Linked DNA regions of Drosophila melanogaster. The protein of the gene in region 2 purifies or fractionates together with the protein of the main gene of each other region. This does not show direct contact. Each region holds a gene or a part of one and is shown on either strand. Other genes may lie near its edges.

Region 1 (3,896 bases), 9.1 Mb from region 2:
TACACCGCATCGAACGGCACTGTCCTGCGCTGGATCAGCTCTCTTGCATGGGGAATCCTGGCATCCGCACAGTTTTCGGGGGCCAAGGACCCCGCGAGTATATACTACAGGTGCTTCCCCAGCTAAAATATCTCGATGGACTTCCAACCAGCAGGAATGCAGCTTATGCGACGCTGTCTTCCTCACAAGGACAGGGTCCGGACTCCACGAGCAATTCGGAAAAGCCTCCACTCGCATCCGCATTCACTTTCAAGGACATCATCCGTCCAAAGTATTCCAGAAAATCGCACAGCGGACGGATGTTTGGCAACGGCTCCTCCACAAACTGAAGTAATATGCCGAAGGAGGGAGGGGTATTCCACTGATTGCATTCTGTCCCATTGTTGGACTATTTTTAACCGTCCGCTGGATTATCAGCGCTGCCCTCGCTGCCCTGCAGTCGTCGATTGCACCTACAGTGCTATGCAAGTAAATATGCATATGGTTATTGCCATGTACGTATATAAATTTGCAATTGTATGACGATGGACACGCACAAACCTAGTGAGAATTAATCTAGTGCATTAAAGCAATTTTTACAATAATAAGAGTCAATGACCTCAGCGAATAGTCAAGTATACAATAGGCACCATCTTCAGAATAAATGTTCTTCGACTTATTCTGAATGTCGTTCAGTGCCCGATTAATTTTACGGATGTAAGCACATGGGCACGAGTTAATATTGCTTAAAACTTGAGGCCAAAGATTAAAATTATGATTCAAAGTAACCAGTTCATTGCGTTTAATCTAAATTTATTACAGGACTATTTTTGCCTACCTCAATAATAAATGTTTTTCAATGCCGTCAACAATACTAGACCACCAAAAACAGTTGCTTGGATGCACTGACTATAAAATTGTTTTTACTCCTATTTCTTTAATTGTTTATCTATGTAACTTGCTTAAAGAACAGAAACTGGAAACCCACATCTGAAAATATTTGGAACCATTACATTCTGGCATCTATTGCACAAATTTGTAGTGCTTATGTTGGTCAATTCGATTTGATTTCCAGGTTTCCAAAAGCAGCCTCCAAGGGTACAATCGTTTGTTTAGTCAAAAGTTGTTCGAGGGCCCACTGACTCAACTTTTGCAGCTCCTTCCGTTTGGAGCTCACGGCTCGAGAGTTGTCCAAATGGTTGCAGCACAAGTAAATGCCATAAAGGGCCCTCAAGTTATGCGGATTAAGCTTCAGGGCCTGCGAATAGTAAGTGCGAGCCGATTCCATATTCTCGACGCCACCCTGAAAGAAAATTAATTCATAAGATGGACTTCATTACTGGTTAGTGGGCTTATATAGCTCACCATTGTGTATCGTATTTCTGCCAAACGCTGGTGTATTAGATGGCTATGCGGATTGTGCAGCAAAACCTCCTCCATGCAGAAGGCAGCTTTGCCAAACTCGCCTTCAGCCAGATACATGTTGCACAGCTCATGCCATGCCTCCTGGTCAGACATAAACCTGAAGGAATATTAAATAGTTATGAGATTATCGTACATGGTAAGATAAGTAGTTGTCTAGCAACCGGATGCCGGAAACTAATTTGGTTCCGTTCTTCCAAAAACACCATGAACTTAGCTTTCTTACTTCTTCAGATACTCGTTGAGCTCCTTGATGGCCTCCAGGCGACGACCACGGGCCTTAAGGATGGCAATCTTGCGCTTCCTGGGCGCGGCATTTGTCTCGTCCTTAGCAATGATTGCATCCAGGACCTCGTCGGCCTCATCGTACTGCTCCAGGGCCTCGTAGCGCATCGCTTTGAACTTCATCACGCGCAGGCTGCCCGGGAACTCGAGGGCCAGCTGCTTGGTACACTTGGTGGCGATGTCAAAGCGAGCCGTATCCAATGCCGCGATGATCACCTGCTCCAGGATGAGATGCCGCTCGTTGCCGGTCTTGTGCACCTTGTCCTCCAGCACAGCAACCCACAGCTGGACCACCTCCTCGCTGTGGCGACCCGTCTCCTCGCGCCATGTTCTGAACTGATCGCGTACATCTGGAAGGATGATCATACGATTATGATACCGCACTTTTCATTCATGGCCCCGTTTTTTGGGTCCACGGAAACCGGGCGATTGGGAGCAACCCACTGACGTGGTCTGCACCTGTTTGAAGCCGGGAAAAGCCAAAAACTCACCCGACCAGCTCATCTTCTCATAATCTAGCGACATATTCACTTAGGCGCACTTAAATATCTCATTAATTTAACTTAATTTTCCAATTGTAATCTTTAACTGCCGATTTCCTTTCCTGGCAAAATAAAAGTGTGGCAGCATAATGGGCCGTTAGATTATACCAAATAACAGTGGCGTGGCGCTGCCAACCTACTTTTTGAATATCGTAAGACTCTACTCTACAGTTACACAGTATGCAGGATTTGTTGACTAGTTTGTAAAAGAAAGCGTTTCCGATCCAATGATGTATATATATCCTTTCCTCTCATCTGCATACATAAGTAAACGAGAAGGTGATATAACTATAATAACTAGGTCATTAATGAATACGGTAAAAAGGAGCGAACCTAGGTGTTTCCCTTGTGGTATGCCAGATATGGGTACAAGATGGGTACAAGTAATAACATTTTTGCAGAGTACCCTTTGCGTTCTGCCATTCAAATATCTTAAAGTCCAATTCAAAAGATCAACCGGAAAACATTATAAATTTAGATTCCTATTGGATAATTAAGGAAGTCATATGGCTTACTTATGTTAGTATATATGTATAGTCACATAATCAACATATTTTCACGTTTCCCTTCCGTTTCTGAGTGCACTCGGCATACGACACAATCGATCAACTTAGCTCTATATGAACAAACAAGTAAATAAATGTGATTTATATTACAAGGAGCTCTTATTAATTATTTGCAGCGCATTAACATGGTCCAATTGTTCCCAGCCACGTAAGGTAATACAAAGTTCCTGAGTTTGATAAAAGAGATAAGAAAGAACACCTTAAACCCTCTTACCAAACGTACTCCTAACTGGATAAGTAGTTCGGTAAACCAATAACTAAATAGTATACCAAGCGTTCAGCAAAACTAACACACCATCTCCGTAGATAATTCCGTGGAAGAGTATCAGCATCAACAAAGGAAAAACAATAGAGATTTCTTCCTCATACCTTACTTTGTTGTTCTCGACTTGTGCATTTACACTTACTAATCTGAACGAGTAATTTTACAGAGAAAAAAAAACGTTTATTTATAAACTTATCTCAAAATAAGGAGGAATTGTGGCAGAAAAGATTCACTACATGTTTACATTTCCAACAGAGCTTTTTTCGAGTGTACTTTGAGTGCGTTGGGTGATTGTGACCACCGAGATGACAATTGTTTCAATACACTCACAGATATGGGTATGTGTTTGCTTGGGGAGCGGAAGATCCAGATAATCTGCGCGGAGCGAGAGTCAAGTGTCATTTTTCCCTCAGTCTACCACAGACGTTGGACCAAAATAAATACCATCCGACGGAGTCCCGATCCCGATTGGAAAACACCAAGAATAGGAGCTGCTGCCAGTTATGTAGATCTACGCCGTTATGTCTGGAACATCGACCTCTGAACGCTCCAACTCCGAAGACAGGTAGTAGATAGGCATTCAAAAATCCATGTAATGACCAAAATATCCCGCTTCCAGCCCGTTGAATCCCTGCCTAACGGAGGTCCTCAGGAATTGTGCCAACATTCAGTCGCTGGAGAGCTTGAACTACGAATATAACGACGTTTTGCTGACCGAAGACAACGTGGGGAAGATGATTACGCCGAATCCGTATTCCTTTAGTGGCAACATTTCCATCAGCAGTTGTCCAAGTGAAGATGTATCATTTTCGGAAAGCATCCTAGAGGACAACGGAC
Region 2 (6,733 bases):
AGCCAAATATCTCACGTCTATGTCCTCCTGGGTAAACGTCTCCGCATCGGCGCCCATCATGTTGGCCAGGTGCCGCTTTCCGATCTGGAACTCCAGGTGCTGGGTCTTCATGAACTCGTCGTGTTCGGTGGCTCTTTTCAGGTACGCCCGCATGGCCTTGCTCACCCTTTGCTTCTGGACAGCCGCCGGAGCAGCCTGGACGGTCACATCGGTGGCAAATGGAGCCGCTGCCTGAAAGGTTATGCAAACGTTTGGTCTCACAATTGGGAACAGTGAAAAGTGTCAAGTCTATTGACTTGACTATTGTACCAACCATGTAGCATGGCATCGGTGCCCTGGATTTGCATGCATTTTGCAGCAGATTCCTGTTATTTTTTACTATATTTAAGCCAAAAACACGCAGTGCCATCCTTTCAATTTTGCGGAAGAAGAAGAGAATAAACATATGTTTCAGTCGGTTAAAGTTGGATGGTCGGTGTTGGAAAACACACAAGCTTTCAGCTGATTTTTGGCGCCCATTTAAAAATTTTTTTATTTGTATTTTTAATTTATTAAGCTATAAAACCACAACTTTCTTACAATGTTATAAGACGGTGAAAATTACTTCATTTTTGAGATAAGTATTATAATAATAATTCCTTTTATACTTTACAGGAAATTCTAAAAAAAATTGTCCTAAATAAATCAGGTAATAGACGCTATGAATTTTTGATTTAATTGTATTTTTATTATTTATATTTTTTGTTTTAATTATCAAAAATTTTTTGAATCCACCTCCTAATTAATCCCAACAATCAGTTAATTCTGATGAAAAAATTGTTTATTTACTTTACCGTTGTCCACCTTTACAAATGCTTTTATTGACTATACTTTTTAAACACTCTTTCAATGCTGATATTTTCAAATGGAAATTTAAACGAACACAAATCAAAGGAACAGAACATGCAATGAAAACCTTTCAACAGCTAATTATAGTTATTTGATGTTTAACGCTATATAATTAGTTATAAATAATTGCCTAGGCTTAGCGTTGATAAAAGGTTTTATTCGCATTGTGGGATGTAATGCAGCTATCAGAATTCTGTTATATATATCAATAGTATCTCGCCGATTTACATTCTCTCATCATCATTCCATCCTCCCTTGTGGTATTTGGTCGCAGTACAATTTATATATATTTAAAGCAATTATTTAATAATAATGCCAAGCCTATTTCCACGCCTGCTTGAGCAATTTACGCGACGCTAAATGCTTAACAATCAACGAGCCTGATGTGAGCGCGACTAGCACTATGGAAATGAGAATATAATCAAAGTCCTCCTTCAGCAAGTCGAACGTCTTTGATGGCGCCACGCGCGTAACGAACAAATCTGTCAAATAAAAATGGTTTACAGTGCTTTAACCAAAATCGCGTTTGATAAATCTCCCTTACCTAAGCCCGTAGCAACGACTAGACAGGTACTCTCCAAGCCACTGGGCGCGGTGTAAATATTACGCAGACGGGCAACCGTCTGGTTGTAATTTATGTGGCTCTCTGTTGGCAAAGGCAGCTCGGGTATGTAGGGGATGGCTCCTTCTTCACGTCCCTGAGTCGTGGATGCGATAGGACGTCGGGGATCCAGCAAATGCCACGGCATTTCCACAATGGAACCACTGGCAGTGCCGACTAGAATTAATGACAAATGGTTAGCATCCTATTTGGCGTTCAAATTACTTTCGTTAATGCTCACTAAGCACATGCTTGTTGGTGATTCCGCGCTCCGTGATAGTTTCCCGCAGAGCCTCAACTATTGTGGGCAGTATATAAGACTGGCGCTCCACGAGGGGCATTGGCGGAGCTTGCAAGGAACTCCAAACACTGCTGTTTGCCTGACTCTTGCCCTCGTACAGTTCGATTGTGGCTGTAGCAAGTAAATAAAGTTTAGTAAATATAGGTACTTGTCAATGGCTATCGCTGTTGTAACTTACTAATCTCTGTGCGACGCAATTTCTCGTTGAAGTAGGAGTAGGCAAGCCAGTTTTCGGAGTGGACAATGCTCAGTGGTGCACGGACCTTACGATGCGTCATGGTGAAAACCACAGAGCCGGAGACCACATCAACCAGATACAAATTTAGCACGGCTATGGAGTAAGTGCCATTTAAATGAATGCTTAATTACACGAAGCGCATGCAGACTCACATTTGTGTGTGGAATCCGGTGCCTGTGTGACGAAAGCCACTAGATTAGGGTTGATGTACTTGTACAGCACCGATCGATCGCCCAGCACACGTCCCTGGGAGTGGACATGCTCGATGGGATTCTTGCCGGCAACGCCGATAATCTGCTGCTCGGAATTGTGGCCGCCCAGGCGAGCATTCCAGATGTGCGTGCTGGACAGTTGCTAACGGAAATGGTTTAATAAGTTAAGTGCTTTCATATTAAAAGGCTGCATTACTTACCCCGCCCGCATATTTAACAAAGTAGCCGGCCAGCTCTGCAGTTTTCAAATCGGCGGTGTACAGATACATGCCATCAGCCTGTACGTGCATGTAAAGATTTTCAACTCTATTGATATATCATAGAATTTTATATCTTACCAGTGGGGCCGCATGTTCGGGATAAACATGTACCTTATTCGAAGCATCCAGTAACAGAATGCCCTTCAGAAAGTCCTTTTCCGTTTCTCCCAGCAACGAAAGCTGCTTAATTCTGTAGTCCAGCTGAACAAGGCCACCTTCGGCTACTTTGCCGGTAATAGGATTAAAACGATAGAGCACACCATTGCCGCTGACCTATAAACGATTAGAATTAGCGTGGGAACTATGCGATTTGTCAGTCAGACCTACAGCATTCTTGCCCAAAATAGTGCACAACGGCTGAAGTGGAAAGTGTTTGGCCGAGCGCTGGACAATCAGACGCATCTGTTCGTCGTTAGCGAATCCAATAACATTGGGAAGATGCAGCTGCCAGTGATGTTTCCCAGAGACATTGTCAATGCCAAAAATCTTTCCAGCACGCGTCAGTAAAACCAGCATCTTGTGGAGGCCAAAGGAGTCTCTGACCAAGCCGGCTCGCTGGGTGTCTGTAGGTGGAGGACCCAGTCCGATAACATGAAGGAACAAGCTCCGAATCTGAACAGCTTGAGTGGTGATGCGACGCAAAAAGGCACTGGCAATGTCTCCTGTTTACGTGGTGAAAACATAAATATTAGTAAAGAACAATTTAATATGATCTTTAAACATTAACGATATACCAAAGATATTTCATATTTTAGTTTACATTGGAAATTAATTATTGGACAGTAAAAAAGTAAAAGTAATACACTTAGCTTTAAACTAGCGAAGCATGCTTGAATTTGTTAGTAAACATTCGTTTTTAGATTAGTGGTACGTTCAATAAACATTAAAAAAAAAAACACAAAATTAAAAGTGATAAACATGTAACAAACAATATTGCATGATTAGTTTGCTGTGAACGTTCACTTACTCTCAAAACTTGTGAAATCCCCTTTTGGTATGAATTTTCAATAATAAATTTTATGAGTTCACCTTAAAGTAGTGCATAAGTCAAGTACACTCACCGGCCTTGCCCTTCATCTCGTTCTCCAATGTGCCCTCAGTATCGGCAAGCGGTAGATCCACAAACTGCGAGTCGATCACATTTGCCAGCGACTCCTCGCGCGACCAACGAACGCGTCCATGCTGCACTGCCACGATGGACTCCGAGGTGCTGCTAAACAAAAACAGACAGTTCTTGCCCTCGCCATTGCGCTTCTGCTTACAGTCGAAGTTGCTCAGCGACGGAGTGCCAAAATGCTCGGGGAATGGCAGACTCTGCTCCAACTCCGCTGCCGGTGCACAGTTATCCAAATACAGAGCATTGATCCTGAGGATCTGTTCATACGCACAGGGAAAGAAACAATTAGTTTTCACATAGAAATAGTAGAATAGAACAGTAAATATAAGTTTAAACGTACTCCAGAGGACAGATCTGCATAGGCCAAGACTTTGCGATAGTTAAAGCTGCCCACGGCGAAGCTGGAGCTTCGCAGATCACCGCAGATCGATTGGTCCTTGTTGACACTAATTGGCTTCCCATCCACAATCACAACACCATTCAGACCCTATAGAAATGTTTGGACGAATTATAACTTCACTTACAACAATCTATTACTTCACTTTCAATAAAAGCAATAGCAAAGTTTTTTCCTCACCGTCAAGGCCTGAGTTTTTCCCTTCGGCTCCGCCTCGAGCGAAGTACGGATTACTTGACCGCTTTTGGAAACGAGATCCAAACTAATCAACTGCTTTCCGTCCGTACAAACGTAGAAGGTGCCGCTAAGGGTGCAGCTCTCTGAGGTGATCCAAGGAGCTATTACCTTGCTGGTGCTGCCAGTGCTGTGGCCCGAGCTGGCGAAATACGCCGTCACCTCGAGGTGGCTCCGCCAGGCAGGCAGCACGTGATATAGCACGGATTTGCTGTAGATCCACATGGCGTCCTGGGCCCGCTCCGTGTTCATGGGCATGATGGACCACTCCCACTCAAGGGCACCCATATTGGTGTTCCAGCCGCGCACCAAAGCAGGAGCGTGTCCCTGAACGGTGAGCATGTCGAAGCCCATGTTGCTGCCCATCGGAGCGGCGGCCGTGTCGCTGCTGTCATCGGCGAATCCGCTCACCTGGAGCAGCTTGACGTCGCCGCGCGGCTTCTGCTCGAGCACCTGCCGCCACACCAATTCGCCGGTCTTTACGCACAGACTGGCCACCACTCCCTCATAGGTGGTGACCAGAATCCGCGGCTGAAAATGGTTGAGGTCGACGCGAGACTGCTTCAGTGCTCCCACATTGACGCCTCGCCTGCAAAAGCCGCACATATCCGCCGTATTAGCGCCGGGTCAATGGTCAGATATCGTACCACACTCACCAGTCGAACTTTTTGATCTGGTCTTCGTAGAGCGCCGAGCAGGTGCCCAATAGGAGCGCCAGCGAAAGTGCGGGCAGTAACCACTTCTCCTGCATGTCGTCCGCCTTGCTTGCTGACCTTCGACTAGCTCGATCTCTGATTGTTCAACTTTTGACGTATTTTTATGTTATAAATTAGTAGAAATCCACATCAATTCGTGTTTTCCGTCATGGCAAAAGGGATGAGAAGACGAAATTGGAGCAGGGTTGGCTGACGATTGCCTTATCGATAGTTCAGCGGACTCACATCCGATATTCAAAGCAGTGCGGCTCATCCCCTTTCAACGTACGGCAAACCCATTCGGTCTTCACCTTTATGATTAAATTTGTTGGTAAAAAGATTAAAAAATAAAATGCCTTGCCATTTTGCGGTATACAGGGCTTATATTTCTGCAGATGCGGCTGCAGTGTGAACCATTTTAAATATTCGTCGTGCTCGCAGCGATAACTGTGACGTGAATGCCATCACTAGCGGTGCCCCATCTAACTCCCATCTCTAATGAGCATTTAGTGTCTTCAAAAGAAGTTGTATTTTTCTGGAAAAATCGCATTGAAATGTTTGAAAAGAAGAGCGACAAGGTTAAGCAAGCGGAGCACAAGGCCCGGGATGATGGCGTAGAGCTGGAGAGCCAGTTTATCATGCGCGTGCCGAAGGTAAGCCATACATAGCACAAACAAACATCACAACAAGCCGTGCAAATTGACGGATTCTCCGCAGGAACTGGCGGACACGGTCCATGAGGCAATAAATGCTGGCACCATTAAGGACCGGCTGACCATCCAACTGGATCCGGATCTGAGGTACGGTGAAGTGCGAATAGATGATCAGATACTGTACACGAAACTCGTGGATTTGCCCACCGTCGTCGAGAGCTACAAGACCATTGACAACAAGAGCTTCTACAAGTCGGCAGACATCTGCCAAATACTCATTTGCAAGGAGGAGCGGGAGGACGAGACGGAAAAGGAGTCGCCCAACAAGAACAAAAAGAAGGACCCCAACAAGGTGGACAAAAAATACCTCTTTCCGCACGGCATCACACCGCCGTGCAAGAATGTGAGAAAACGACGATTCCGCAAAACTCTGAAGAAAAAGAATGTCGAAGCTCCCGAGATTGAGAAGGAAGTGAAACATCTGCTGCGCATTGACAACGAGGCTGTCAGAGTTGACTATGAAATCATAAACGAAGAGGACAAGCCAATGGATGAACTGGAGCAATCGGACATCAAACCCTACAACGATGCGGATGACGATTTGCAGGACGAAAGCACCATGCATGCCAGCGAAAAGACGATCATGGAAATGAGCTCCCAGCGGCACCTCCAAGTGGAGTCCGATGATGACGAAGCCAGCAACTTTCCCTCACACCGGGCGCCGAACATGGGAGTTGCTGTCCACGACATCTTCGGCGAGGAAGTGTCCAGCACGGATGACGAGGATGAGCCCGATCGGGGCAATAACACCATGCAGCGGCGGGTGATGGAGGAATCCTCACGACTCTCGGCTGATGATTCACGAATGTCGGACTTCTTTGGCGCTAGTGGCAGTAATACTGGAGCGGGCGTAGTGAAAATGGAGCAGAACGTGTTCAGCAAGTCTATGTTTGGGCATGAAGCCAGCAGTCCTAAGCTCAGCGCCGCCGGATCAAGCTCCAACCTTGCTGCTCCCAGTGGCTTCTACGATAGCCAAATGCTAGCCAAGCGCGAGGAGTTCGAGAACATGGAATTCATAGACGAACCGCAGCCGCAGTACACGCAGCAACAGGTCCAGCAGAAGATCAATCAACTGAC

Evidence for each region.
Region 1: the proteins of EMC1 (region 2) and EMC2B purify together in Drosophila melanogaster (affinity purification with mass spectrometry, with the first as the bait; one large-scale study listed by BioGRID). This does not show direct contact.

Annotation. Positions count from the first base shown.
Region 1 is NT_033777.3:16,989,557-16,993,452, forward strand, and holds EMC2B (ER membrane protein complex subunit 2B), read right to left. Parts: upstream 2,323-3,896; 5' UTR 2,212-2,322; coding exon 2,178-2,211; intron 2,037-2,177; coding exon 1,628-2,036; intron 1,502-1,627; coding exon 1,345-1,501; intron 1,283-1,344; coding exon 1,034-1,282; 3' UTR 778-1,033; downstream 1-777. Other genes in the region: MESK4 (misexpression suppressor of KSR 4), read left to right, coding at 1-329; CG31274 (uncharacterized protein), read left to right, coding at 3,581-3,624, 3,679-3,896.
Region 2 is NT_033777.3:7,902,224-7,908,956, forward strand, and holds EMC1 (ER membrane protein complex subunit 1), read right to left. Parts: upstream 5,141-6,733; 5' UTR 5,000-5,140; coding exon 4,905-4,999; intron 4,838-4,904; coding exon 4,195-4,837; intron 4,105-4,194; coding exon 3,958-4,104; intron 3,875-3,957; coding exon 3,562-3,874; intron 3,489-3,561; coding exon 3,468-3,488; intron 3,163-3,467; coding exon 2,828-3,162; intron 2,774-2,827; coding exon 2,579-2,773; intron 2,519-2,578; coding exon 2,441-2,518; intron 2,383-2,440; coding exon 2,181-2,382; intron 2,122-2,180; coding exon 1,969-2,121; intron 1,902-1,968; coding exon 1,731-1,901; intron 1,667-1,730; coding exon 1,433-1,666; intron 1,371-1,432; coding exon 1,210-1,370; 3' UTR 807-1,209; downstream 1-806. Other genes in the region: mRpS9 (mitochondrial ribosomal protein S9), read right to left, coding at 16-231, 314-409; Taf7 (TBP-associated factor 7), read left to right, coding at 5,402-5,596, 5,661-6,733.